2 linked regions of the Tribolium castaneum genome follow. The protein of the gene in region 2 purifies or fractionates together with the protein of the main gene of each other region. This does not show direct contact. Links are inferred from orthologs where the notes say so. Each region holds a gene or a part of one and is shown on either strand. Other genes may lie near its edges.

What was found.
Region 1: the proteins of Pink1 (region 2) and Cdc37 purify together in Homo sapiens (affinity purification with mass spectrometry; 6 studies listed by BioGRID and IntAct, with this or other methods). This does not show direct contact. The link is inferred for Tribolium castaneum from reciprocal best matches to the Homo sapiens genes PINK1 and CDC37.

The regions. Positions count from the first base shown.
Region 1 is NC_087398.1:2,271,690-2,278,002, forward strand, and holds Cdc37 (hsp90 co-chaperone Cdc37), read left to right. Parts: upstream 1-2,523; 5' UTR 2,524-2,650; coding exon 2,651-2,683; intron 2,684-2,730; coding exon 2,731-3,021; intron 3,022-3,068; coding exon 3,069-3,347; intron 3,348-3,422; coding exon 3,423-3,911; 3' UTR 3,912-4,024; downstream 4,025-6,313. Other genes in the region: queuosine 5'-phosphate N-glycosylase/hydrolase, read left to right, coding at 1,169-1,264, 1,318-2,214; Spase25 (signal peptidase complex subunit 2), read left to right, coding at 4,341-4,376, 4,469-4,534, 4,582-4,715, 4,768-4,926, 4,972-5,158. UniProt on the Homo sapiens protein: Co-chaperone that binds to numerous kinases and promotes their interaction with the Hsp90 complex, resulting in stabilization and promotion of their activity. Inhibits HSP90AA1 ATPase activity.
Region 2 is NC_087398.1:3,463,326-3,470,344, reverse strand, and holds Pink1 (serine/threonine-protein kinase Pink1, mitochondrial), read right to left. Parts: upstream 4,450-7,019; 5' UTR 4,264-4,449; coding exon 3,977-4,263; intron 3,470-3,976; coding exon 2,350-3,469; intron 2,297-2,349; coding exon 2,198-2,296; intron 2,146-2,197; coding exon 1,939-2,145; 3' UTR 1,707-1,938; coding exon of another isoform or gene 1,564-1,706; 3' UTR 1,521-1,563; coding exon of another isoform or gene 1,349-1,520; 3' UTR 1,306-1,348; coding exon of another isoform or gene 1,234-1,305; 3' UTR 765-1,233; intron 716-764; 3' UTR 553-715; downstream 1-552. Other genes in the region: CstF50 (cleavage stimulation factor subunit 1), read right to left, coding at 1-107, 155-240; zinc finger protein 346, read left to right, coding at 1,234-1,305, 1,349-1,520, 1,564-1,706; protein brambleberry, read left to right, coding at 5,000-5,260, 5,311-5,965. UniProt on the Homo sapiens protein: Serine/threonine-protein kinase which acts as a sensor of mitochondrial damage and protects against mitochondrial dysfunction during cellular stress.

The sequences.
Region 1 (6,313 bases), about 1.2 Mb from region 2:
GGAGCCGACAGAGCACCATCTCTTAGTCTCATTCAAGGAATTTGACGATAATCAGCGGCGACTGAAGTATGCTAGTGAACATGTAATGTGGCTTGTTCAAAACATTCATGACTGTTTATACAGTTTCCTTGATACCTATGCTCACCACGCAATGTTGGAAGACAGGTTCAAAGAAATTTATAAATCTCAGTTTGATTTTGGGCCAGCCTATTGCATGACTCACGACTGTGATAATTTAATATTAAATAGGTGTACCACCTTTTTAATATATAAATACACAAGAGACAAGCAGAAAGCAAAATCCGTTACCACCGGTCATATAGAAAAAATGAAAAAATTCCGAAGGCTGTGATTTGTAAATAGACTGTGATTTGTACATAGAAGGCTGTGATTTGTAGATATATATTTAAACAAGAAATGTATTTTTTTTTTAATTTATTTGTACATAGTTCTTTTGGAGGAAATATTTCTGTTTTAATTTATATAGTTTAAAATTGTTTGTTAAGTTTTTTGATGTTTTTTAGAATTCTCTATTTAGGTTATTTCAGAATTTACTTTTAAGTTTCTTATTTGCGCTCGAGTGTGTCAGTGCACTGCATGTACCTCCTCGTGGTCGTAGCGCGGGCAACTGTTTGCTGACAGACAAGGTAAAAGTCATTGCAAAGAAGGCCTTATTTTGTTTTAAGTCTGGAGCAGACAGGCAAAACATGCCAACACTGACTGATTCAATTTTTTGATAATTTTTGTATAATTAAGAAATAATACAATACTTTAATTTTTTGAAAAATTTAATTTGTTATGTTACTCAAGTGTGCAATAAAAATGTTAACAAAATCTGTGTTTTATTACCCCAAAACAACTTTTTTTGTAAGTTTCATTGCAAATTTTGTTTAAAATAAATATAAAATGTTTTCATTTCGTTTAAAATGAAAATATTTTTTTTTATTTTAAACAATTTGCAATAAAACTTGTAAGATAAAAATAATAAAAAACAGAATATAAAAGGAATTTATTCAAACGTGGCGCTTTACCGTGGTAGTAACGCACTTCAGCACCAGAGGCGCTGTATTCTCGTGTTGCCAGTGATTTACTAGGGAATTATCACTTCTTAACCTTTACTGTTCTGTGATTTTACAAGCTCCGCGTTTTCACAACATATCAAGAGAAAATGGCTTTATCACCTCGTGAGTCAGGCAAACTCGTTGCTTCGCTTAGCAAAAACGTGAAAATCAAAGACGAAGGTGTGAAAAAACTGGGGGATTTGGTAAGTCCGTGCGTATCAGGCGAAAAAAGGCACATTTTAACTGTTATCTCCAGTTGGTTAGCGAGATCGAAAGCGGGAAATTGTCCAGTGAGAAGTTCAGTCAAGTGAAACTGCACCCAAAATCCGACGATCCCAAAGCCCTTGACTGGTTATTTGTCGTGGACACTCTGAATTTTTGCTTCTGGCACTTAGAAACCGAAGCTGGCTGGACTGTGGAGGGCTACACTGGTTATTTTGCCCTTTGTGCGGCTATTAATCGAGCCGTGAAGGAAAAAGTGGATATTTTGAACTCGAAATACTACTCTGAAGTGTCCGAAAAAGACCTTGCGAAAATATTCAGAAGCGACAACGATGTCCCAATTCCACTCCTCCAGGAACGCGTCAAATGCTTGCACGAAGTTGGGAACGTCCTTCTTGAAACTTTCGACGGTTCGTTTGAAAATTGCGTGAAAAAGGCTGACAAGAGCGCTGTGGCCCTTCTGGACCTAATCGTCAACAATTTCAAGTGCTTCAAGGACGAAGCGACTTACAAAGACAAGAAAATTGCGATTTACAAGCGGGCGCAGATTTTAATTGGCGACATTTGGGCCTGTTTCAAGAACGAAGGACTTGGGCACTTTAAAGATATCGATGAAATAACAATGTTTGCGGATTATAGAATCCCACAATCTCTCCTATATTTCGGGGTGTTTGAGTACAGCGAAGATTTGAAGAAGAAACTGCAAGACAACAAAATTCTCGAAAACGGGGAAGAGGACGAAGTGGAGATCAGAGCTTGCTCCATCCATGCGGTCGAGCTGCTAAAAGAACATGCCAATAAAAAACTAACTGATACGAAAATCAATGCCATTTTGATCGATCACTTCTTGTGGGACTTCAGACGCGAACATAACAAGGAAATCGTGGAGAAGAAGTTGCCGTTCCACAAAACGTTCTCCATTTATTACTAAATCGAACGACAATATCAAGTTAAAATTGGAGTTGACCGAATCAATGTGCTAATTTATTAGTAATTAATCGAAAATTTCAGGGAGCGGTTGGCCATGAAACTTTGATATGGCATTTTGGTGGTAGTCATGGTTACAATTGTTACAAACCGAACCGTACTTTTTCATTGCCAACTATGCTGTCATGTTTTATTTCATATCAGTAATTTTTAAGATTAATCGTGTCAATGTTTTTAAAGTTAAAGTATTAGATTATGATTGAAAGAATATTCTGGAATTTTATTTGCCCTCGTCTCCCTACCCATGATCCTCTGCCGACGTTTCGCGAAAGCCAGCCAGAGGGCGGAGGAGCAGCAAAGTGACGTTTGTTGTTTATTTCAAAAGTGCAAGTGTTTTATTGTTGTATTTTCTTGGAGGAATCAAAATTCGCATTGGCGTCATGGTCGATTACAGCAAGTGGAAGAATATTGAGGTAGTGAAGTCTGGGAGGAAAAAATGAGGTTAGGTGGTGCTTTGCAGATTTCCGACGATGAGGATGAGACGCATCCAAATATTGACACCCCTTCACTTTTCCGGTGGAGGCACCAGGCCAGAGTTGAGCGCATGGAAGAAATGAAGAAAGAAGCGGAAGAAATCCAGATAAAGAGGGAGGAAAATGCTAAGAAGGTCTCGCAAGCCAAGCAGAAGCTGGCGGAAGCCGAGAAGGCCGGAGATGCGAATTTGAGGGAACTTAAGGACGCTCTGGCCGCGCTGGAGAAGGAAATGGAAGCGATTAAGAAGAAACAGGAAGAACACGAGAAGAAAGAAAAAGTTTGTACGAATGTTAGTTCTTCTAATGTTTATTTAGTGATTTACAGATGGCCCCGTGGAATGTGGACACAATTAGTCAGCCAGGTTTTGCAAAGACTGTTATTAATAAGAAAGCTCCGAGACCGAAGGACGAACAATTAACGGATGAAGAGAAGGAAAGTCGCATGAAAAATTTTGTAAAAGAAAACGAGAAGAATTTGAAGCACTTTGGAATGTTGCGACGTTATGAAGACTCTCGGGCTTTTCTCAGGGACCACCTTGAATTGGTTTGCGAAGACACAGCTAATTACCTCGTCATCTGGTGCATCAATTTAGAAATGGAAGAGGTAAGATTGTGGCAAAAAATGTATATTGGCAACACTGAGTTGTTGGGGTAAATTATGTATTGTTCTTTTAATTAGAAACATGACCTTATGGAGCACGTGGCGCACCAGACCATCTGCATGCAGTACATCCTAGAACTAGCCAAACAATTAGACTACGACCCTCGCGGCTGCGTGGACCCCTTTTTCTCCAAAATCCAAATAGCTGATCCTCTTTACAAAAAATCGTTTGACGATGAATTAGACCAGTTTAAGGAGAGGATCAGACGACGCGCAGCTGAGAAGATTGAAGAGGCCATAAAAGAAGCAGAGGAGGAGGAGAGGAAAGCGAGGATAGGGCCAGGAGGGTTAGATCAGCTTGAAGTCTTGGAAAGTCTTCCCGAGAATTTACGAAAATGTTTCGAGACGCAAGACATCCAAATGTTGCAAGACACAATCAAGGAAATGGATGAAGAAGAGGCCAACTATCACATGAAGAGGTGTGTTGCTGCGGGTCTTTGGATACCTGATGCCAAAAAGAAGGAAGAAGAAGAAGCTGGGCCTTCTGATGAGCAGTCAAAACCCTAAAGTCACTTGCTTTACAATTTTTGTTATTTAGCCTTTATTTCCTAAGAATGCAAATTTATTGTATTAATTTATTAGGAATGCTTGAAGATTAATAAATTTCTTTACTTTATAAACTTGACGTAAACTTTCTTATACCCATCCCAATTCCCGCATTTTCTCTCACTGACTTAAATTAATCATCCACTTGAAAAAAATAATAGCCAAACGAATTTACAGTTTCAGTGGCAGATATAACAATCAACGTTATTTAAAAAAAATATTTGGTAAAACCCGTTCTTTTGAAAAAGCGTAGTTACTTTTGTTCACCGATGTTGGTGTATTTTCGCGTTTCCCATATTTCGTGTTCTGACGCATCACTTGACGTGTCGCAACAACAAGACACGACAACACCACATAAAAAATTGAAAATTTAACCAGTCAGTTAAGATTATGGCCCCAAAAGAAAGCAAAGAAAAGGATGATAAGGTACAGTTTAAATGAATGAACACGTAATTTGCACGCTTGTTATTTAAATACGGAAAAAATTGTAAATTTGGCTTCATAACCTATTGTTGCAGCCTGTTAAAATAAATAAATGGGACGGTTCAGCTGTGAAAAATGCCATAGACGATGCAGTAAAAGAAGTGAGGTCCCGTGACTCCCTGTTCATTGTTATAATAGTATTTTTTAGGTACTTACTAAAAAGTATCATTACGTAGAAAATTTTAAATTGATGGATGGGCGCCTTGTAATTTGTAGTATTGCAGTAGGAGTTGCCATGTTTGCTTTACTGTGGGATTATTTATATCCCTTTCCACTTTCTAAGTAAGAGTCTCAAATAATCCACCCCTCTGTATAAATACTTGCGTTTTTTCAGACCTATATTAATATTTTGTGTGGGCACTTATTTCACAATGATGGGCATTCTAACGTTGTACACCATGTATGTAGAAAAGGGTATTTTCGCTGTATGTATGCAGAAGAAGGACGGTCAGAAAAGCGATAACATATGGGAAGCCAGCTCATATTTAAAAAAGTGGGTCCCAAAGATAAAACCACAGTAATTTATTATTTATTTTAGATACGATGATAAATATAAACTGGTTCTCACGTTTAAAGATGGTAAAACTGGGGCTTTCCGGGAGACAAGCTTAAAGAAAAGTGTTGCAAATTTTGTGGACGTCAACGGTAGTGTAGTGCACGAAATTGTGGAAAATGAGGTTTCAAAGCTGCACAATTCTCTGTTGAATGAACGTAAAGATAAATAGCTCTCGAGATTGTCATGTCAGCAAGGCATTTATTGCATAATTCCACTTGAGTTGTAAATTTCTCTAATACATTACTTTTTTAGTACAATGATTATTTTATTTTTGTTCATAAACGCCTTTCTACGCACAAAACAAAAACTGTTTGCGATTTATCGGAAACGCACAGCCAAAAAATTTTCAACATAACTGTATCGATTTCTATTGAAAAAATAAAAATTATGGAGGTAAAAATCGTGTTTCTGTTCCCATTGAAAAATTCCACAAAAATCTAAACCTTCCTCCCAAGACAATAAAAAAGAGGACATGACTACAGTAGAACCTCGTTTATCCGCGTAGCAGTGCACAAGACAATTTTATAATTATTTAATTTACTACCTAAGAAGTTTAATAAGGTGATACAAAGTATTTGCGTTTAAGGTGAATTACTGCATTTATATAGTTTGTAATGTTGATTTATTTAAAAAGTTTGTGTTAAAATACCTGCAAAAGACGGTCGGTACCCAGGGCCTTGGTGGCCGAGTGGTATAAGCGCCACTTTCGGCGGTGGAGGTCGGGTGTTCGCACCCGGATCACGGCAACAATTTTTCTGAGAAAAAAAGTGTAGAAAAGGTAAGTGAAACAACACGAGAACAAAAATAAGAGATTGAGAGAACATACAAACATATAAACGTATAAACGTAAAGCGGAGCATAAAACTGAGAGAAATAAGAAAATAATGTGGCAAAAATGTAAAAGTACGTAAAGGCGCCAAATTGTAAACGTACTTTTTGTTTTGAGAGAAGAAGAGATGAACGTAAAGGTGAAATATAACTGCAAACTTTAGTTGAATCTTTAGATGACTTATACGTCAGGTATCTTTTGATGGAATCTGGTGAAAAATTAGAGAATTAAACTGAAAAAAGTGAAAAAAATGCTTTCTCGAGCTAATTCGCCGACTTTTGAACTGAAAGTATTTGCGTGTTAGGTGAATTATTGCAGTTATATAGTTTGTAATGTTAATTTATTTAAAAAGTTTGTGTTAAAATATCTGCAAAACAGGGTCAGTACCCAGGGCCTTGGTGGCCTAGTGGTATAAGCGCCACTTTCGGCGGTGGAGGTCGGGTGTTCGCACCCGGATCACGGCAACAATTTTTCTGAGAAAAAAAGTATAGAAAA
Region 2 (7,019 bases):
CCATGACAATATGAAAAAGACGGTCACTGGGGGCACACGGAGGGTCCGCTTGGACTGCGGCCGTGAGATTAGTGCCGATGCTTTGGTGGCCGTCATAGAAGAGTTGGCTTGAAGGGAAAAATTTAGGTTAGGTTGCCGGTTTTGGGTGTTTTACCTAATAATGAGGCGGTAGAGGAACTCGCGACTCTTGAGGAGGTTCGTCGTGTCCACGTCTTCGTCCTTAATGCTTGAGTTAGTCATTTTATTGAGGTTTTTTAAATATTCCCTTTAACAACAAATGCGACCCAAACAAATCTAGAGGTTTCGGATTTGTTACATTGGTAGTTTGCTGTAGTAAAAAATTATTTTTTTTGACCAAAACTCGATAAAAAAATTAAATTCGAGTATTTGGAATGTAACGTATTACTATTTACCTTGATTTAGTTGCTTGGAAGGCAACAAATTATTTGTGAAAATTTCTTTAGGGATATTTTTTGCGTTGGCAAAAAGGAGGCAATTTAAAATTAGCCTTGAATTTTTTCAATGAAAGAAGGAACGTAAAAAAACTACGACTGAAATGCTGAATTCGAAACCTTTATTGAAAAACTCGATAGGCACAAAAATCGTTATTCAGTAAGAGCCATGGAATCGCCGTCTCCGGACCTCCTGCTGCCCAGGTCGTCCGTAGTTGAGGGTTCCGTTTCAGTGGAGATGTCCGGAGTCGAAGCCATGGCAGCTGAAACTTTTAAATTTAGATAAAATTTCCGTTTTTTGTCGTTTCTCACCTAAATCGCCCCCATCCATCAACAATCTGTTGAACTTGGCCCAATAATCGACTCTCAAAAAGTGCAAAATCTTCACAAACTCTTCGACTTGCAGTTCAGGGACCCTCACAATATCTCCGTAGATCAGGCGTACGACTTTTCTCATCACATCCTGGCTGAACTCTTCTAAAGTAATTTCCCTGATGGCTACCTGGTTCTCCAACAACTGGCGAAAATAGAGGCTTCGGGTCATTAAAATAAGTTTATGAACGCACACACTGCCGTGGGCGCAGAGAATCTCAAAATCGAACAATTCTCGACTGAGAGGATCGTCAAAATGGAAATTTTGGACTTGAGCACCGTCGGCGTAAAGACCTGCGTTCATCTTGACCGGCTTTGAAACACTGACGAGGTCGAGGAAGATAAAGTCGGAAAAAAAGTTTGAAAAAGTCAGGTGATAGCGTTTGCGGCGGCATGCGAACGTGCGAAAATGTCCGAATTCCATAATTCGATCGAAGAAGTGCAATTAAACGAGAAAAATGAAGAAAACAGCGATAAAAATGTGAGCCAGTTTGAGGGAAGCAAATTAGTGATTGATTTTTTAGGCCCTTTCGTGCGAATTATGTAATGTTAAAGTCACCAGTGTGAAGATCCTTCAGCGCCATTTGGAAGGGCGAAGGCACAAAATGAAGGAAGAGAGACAAGGAAAAACATTCGTTTGTGAATTGTGCGATGTCGTCGCAAACAGCGAAATTCAGCTAAACATCCACTTGAACAGTAAGTCAAATGTTGAGTTTCGAAATGATGAGAGACGTTACAGGCATCAAACACAAGAACAAGCTGATGAAAAAAGAAAACTTCATTTCGGACGCGACAGGAACCGCTGGCTTGTGGATCTTACTCTTCTGTGTCGTTTGTATTTTTATTAACTTATTGTTGTTGTTTAAAGTGATTTGCCAGTAATTTTGTTCATTGTTACCAAATTTCTATTACCATTAAATTGTTGAACGATTGAAACGACTTTTCTTAAACCCAAATATATATTTCAGTGAGTAATAGCAGTAATGTACAAATCAAGTGTTTTTATTTCTATAAAACCGAATCTATAGAAAGAAACACTAACCATAATCACAATCTAGCAGTCTCATGTGTCTAACTAAAACAGCCCTCGACCTCGCAATAAATAGCCTTAAGTTTAATCAAGTTCGGGAAGATTTTCCTGAATCCAGTGAAGCGCATTTCTAACATTTGCTAACTTAGCTCTACACAAAAAACTAGAAATCAACAAATACTCGGGATACGTCCTCCTCCAATTCCTTGTAAATTTCTCCCCAAAACTCTTATTATTGATTTTGCCCTCGCACAAAACCTTCGTCGTCAAACTCAACAACCACTGCAAAATCTAAAAACAAACGAATGACGATTGCTATTTTACCTAAACAAAAGACAATCACCTCGCCACTTGTTGGTACTTTCAAGCCCGGCTTTAGCCACGTGCTAGGTGCCCACAAAAACAACTGACAAACGTTGGCCGCAACTTCCGGATCGAGACGCTATTTTGAAAAATAATTTACCCTTAATGAAAAACAAAAAAATCATTACCAACCTTATTGGGATTGCGCTTCAGGAGATTGGCCACCAAGGCTTGAATCACAGTTGGCACCTCGTCGGGCAATTTCGGTAAATCCCCCTCCTTGTAATTAAAGTTTTTCAACCGACTTGGGCCATAAAATGGGTTATGACAGTTGAAAATCTCGTAAGCTATGGCTCCTACGGCCCACAAGTCGGCTTTGGAATAATTCAAGACGCTGAAAGTGCCCGGTTTTTGGCAAATAATTTCGGGGGCCATCAATGCAGTGTTGCCACCCTTATCCATCTCATAGCTCGTGTAAGGGAGCGACAACCCGTTGGTTTTATCAGCAAGACAACACCCAAAGTCGCTGATGACTAAAATGGGGCTTTCGGGTTCGCTGGTGTCGAGTAACAAATTATCGGATTTGAGGTCGCGGTGTGCTATGCCGTGAGCTGTCATATGAGCCACGCCTTCTAGCAACTGGGCGAGTAGGAGGAGCGATGTGCGGGTTGATGGAGCTGTTGAGAGGAAACTTTGCAAGTTGCAATCGTAGCGTTTCATAAGGAGGAACAGCGACATGTTCCGGCCTTCGCCCTCGGGGTGGAGTCTCGGGGGCAGAGCCGCGGGGTACAAGTCCTTACTACCCTCCAATTCTTGGATTAAATCAGTAAAAACGGAAAATATGGCAACGATATTGGGATGCGGTGGCAGATGTTTCCGCCGATTGGCCAACTCGATTTCCCAATTGTTCAAATCGTGGTTGCTGTAATACATCCTCGCAGGAACCGTTTCGCGATACATGGCCTTGAGGATTTCCATAGAATTTGATTGGATGTCGTAGTTGAACATCATTTTCAGCGCGAATGGGTATTTGTTGTCGTCGGTTTCGTCGTCTTTCACTTTAGCTGAATAAACCACGCCATTGGTGCCTTTGGCTATCGGTTTGCCCAATGAGAGATCGTTTAAAGTGATCGGGTTCGATTCGAATCGGCTTTCGTCGATGTCGTAATACTGCCATTTGATTTTCGAGATGGCTTCGCGAATTTCCCAACACACACCTTCAAGTTCCTCTTCTTTGGTTAAAATTCCGGTACCGGAAGCTATGCTCACGCCCACTAGGGCAAAAAACGGGGCGGAGTCGCCGAATAAGATCCTGGAAAATGAAAAAGTTCAGACACGCCCACCGTGACCACGCCCACATATAGCATTATACATATGTATAAATAAAGCGTGATTACATAGCACGTTTGATTGTTGCATCAAAGATAAAATTAGCTTGAATAAAAAATTAAAGCTCAAATTCCTAATACAAGTCTTATCAAAATTGTGTTTACTGAAAATGTAATTAAGTTATAACAATAGAATTTTATGTTATGTATCGACGTAACTATTAAAACAAATGAATTACCAGCAATTATCCTAAACTGAATTAAAATCAAAGAAGGCCTTGAAGCCATCCTGCGTTAAATAAAAACACAAAAAAGCACCACTTTTAAATGTGGTTTTTTAAATGATGATAATAAATCACAATTAAATTAACACTCTGCCTTTCGTAAATTGCTAATAATTAAGAAAAAAAAGCAAAAATTCACATTTTTGTTTATGCAATGTCACTGATTGTCACAGCCAACTTTGATTTTTTTAATATTGTTATCCTTACCTTCTGGTGGCCTTCTTCCTCAGCTCGGCCGAAAGGCTGTTGGTGACCCTATTAAGCACATTATCGATCAGAATCCGCCTCGCCTGCAGCCCCAACTGGACCCCCACATTTCTCAGCGCAAAATTCTTGGGTATCTGGGTTTTGGGCAACGAAGACGGGGCTGCTGTTGCTTGTGAAACGGCATTAATTTTGTCGCCAATTGTGGTATTAAGGTCTCTTTTACAGAATTGTTGGATAAGACTTCTACCATGTTTAAATAAGCGGCTGCCGACGGCGCGTACGGACATTTTGTACCGCGTGGAGGGACGGCACCCTCAGCAGGGCACTCGGAGAAGAATCAACACAAAAAACACACGGGAAATTTGATTTTTAGAGAAAAATTCCGCACTTTGACATTTCGCCCCCTTGAGGCACGACTGCCATCTTTATTTTCAAACTCGGGAAATCTGGCCCAATCACCAACAGGCGTCTGCTCAGCGTCTTTGTCTATTTTATAAGCTAAAAAGAGAGAGACGAACCGACGCAAGTCGTAGATACGCCACAATTGCATAAAATTTATTTTTAAACTTTTTGCGTCTTAAGTTATGACTTTAAGATAATTAAAACTTTACTCAAATAAGCCAAATTGGTGTTATGCTTCGGAAAGTAGGGTAATTTATCATAAAAATTATATACTTGATGAAACTGCAAGTCTCGCCCGTAGATGGCGCGTTGATTGTTTGAAAAAATAGTGGTCTATAAATGTTTAGTTTAAATAAATATACACTGTCCTAGTTTTAAATTTAGCCTAAGTTATTAGGAAGGGGTAATTTTAAATAAATAATTGCGTAATAAAAGTCGCACAGTGCCTTATTTTCATCTGTTCTAGATGTCAGCACATGGAAAAAAAAAGAATCAACGGTTATTATTGACAGTTGACACCTGTCAACAATGAATTTAAAATCAGTGATAAAAAGCTAAATTTCGCCAAATACAATCACTTTCCGTTAAGTTTTCCAAATCCCTAGTCATTATTTATTCACCATGAAGTTCCCCAGTTGTACTAGTTTTATTTTAGTGTTAATTTTACTTTTCTTCAAAACTTGGCAAGTTCAGACAGGTTTCACCGATTATGTAAAAACAATAGGAAGTTATTTTACGTTCACCGAACCCGAAAGTGATTCTGTCGGTGAATTCGTCCAACGAATTCCCTACGAAGTGTCCACAGTCGATGAAAAATTCATATCAGAGGCAGCCAAGCTCACAGGTGTAGCTTTATCAGAGCTAGATTCATGCCAGCAAAGAGTAAATATGGTTTTTTGTATTTGCAACCCTTACTAACTTATCTAGAACAGGTGGTACTGAAGCTACGCTCTGATTGCGATAAGATGAACGACGAGCAGCTGGCTAAAATGGCAGTACATCTCCTAAACTGCCAATCGTACGTTGAAGGGCGCCCTATTTTTCCTTGCACCGATGACATGAGCATCCGCGACTGCACCGGAAGCATGGACTCGGACACGTGGACGAGCTACCACCTCATGAGTAACCGTGCAAGAGCCGTCTGCTACACCATCAGACAAATGCAGTTCCGCGGAATGGCAGAACACTCCATAAACAGACTCATGGACACGGCCCGAGACCAACTCAAAACCCTCGGGAAAATCGCGGAAAATCAGCAAGATCTGCACGACATTGCTGAACAAACGCTCAGTTCGTTAGCGCAAGGTCACGAGATTTTGACCAATCAGCAGCGAGATATCCAAAGAGCCCAGTTCCACGGCCAGCTGGTCTTGGAAGATAATATCCGCAAGCTATCACAAGAGAAAGAGTTGATCGTTGATACTCACAACCAATTGGTGCAAATGACGCACAAGATACAGCGCCGGTTGGAAGATTCAAGCAAGAATCTTGAAAAACAAAGAGGCGAGACCCGCCAAAACCACGAGGAGTTGCTAGACGATCTTGTCAAGATTCAAGATAAGGCACACGCCATTTTTGAACGAATCGGTAATTACGATTTTTTAATTGAGTATATCTAGACCTGTGTCCAAAAGAAAGATACCAGAAAATGAACTGCTGAATCACTGGAGCAAACCGTTTTGCTCTACGACTTTTAATTTTTGAGTCATGAATTTTTTTGTTGAATAAAATTTTTCACTATGGAAAATGGCTTAAATTTTTTGTGAAAAATCGATATAAAATGTAAAATGAGTCCTAGAACACGGAAAAATCGAGGAAAACCGGAATAAAAAACTACAAAATGGCACAGGTTTAAAGGCAAAAATTTTTTCAGTTTTCAAACGTCGATTACGGTCAAACTAAAAGAGTTAGGAGAAAACGCTTTTTTTCATCGTAAAGAGCACATCAAAATCTATAAGATAGGATCGGTTTTATTTGGTTTGGAGACCCTTTTATAATTAGCCATTTTTAACGGGGGGGTGTTTTTAAACTTTTTTTAATTTTTTTAAATTTTCTCAATTATGGCTAAACTATTCAAAAAAGTGGAACTTTTTTGATCCTTGCCTATACAAAATGATCCGGGGAATCGATTGGCATCGAGAAATTTGCGAAATTTCCAACAGTTTTTTATTTATGAATTTTTTTAAATTTTACCTATTTTTGCTTTTATTTGCAATTTTCTCAAAAACTATTAGTCCTAGAACAAAGATCTTTTTTGAAAAGTATAGAAAATTAAAAGAGCTTTCCAACGATAATACACTATGGGGTTATCTCTAATAGTTCCTGAGTTATTGCTCGATAAATGTTCCGGATTACCGAAATCGACCAAAATCGCGAGAAAAATTGGAAAAGTCAAACATCAAAAAATCGAACATATGGACTTTTTTTGGACATTTAACAACTCGAGAAGGTTGTAAAGGCACATACAAGTCCATACAACTATGTTACAACGAGTTTAAAAAAACATCTTTTTTTTTTACTTTTTTGAAGGTAAGTGTAAATTTTTGCAAGACAATTCATAACTTTAAATTTTGTGAAAAGCTGGTATAATACAGAAGATGAGCCGCTGAATTCACTGGAACAAACCGTTTTGCTCTACGAC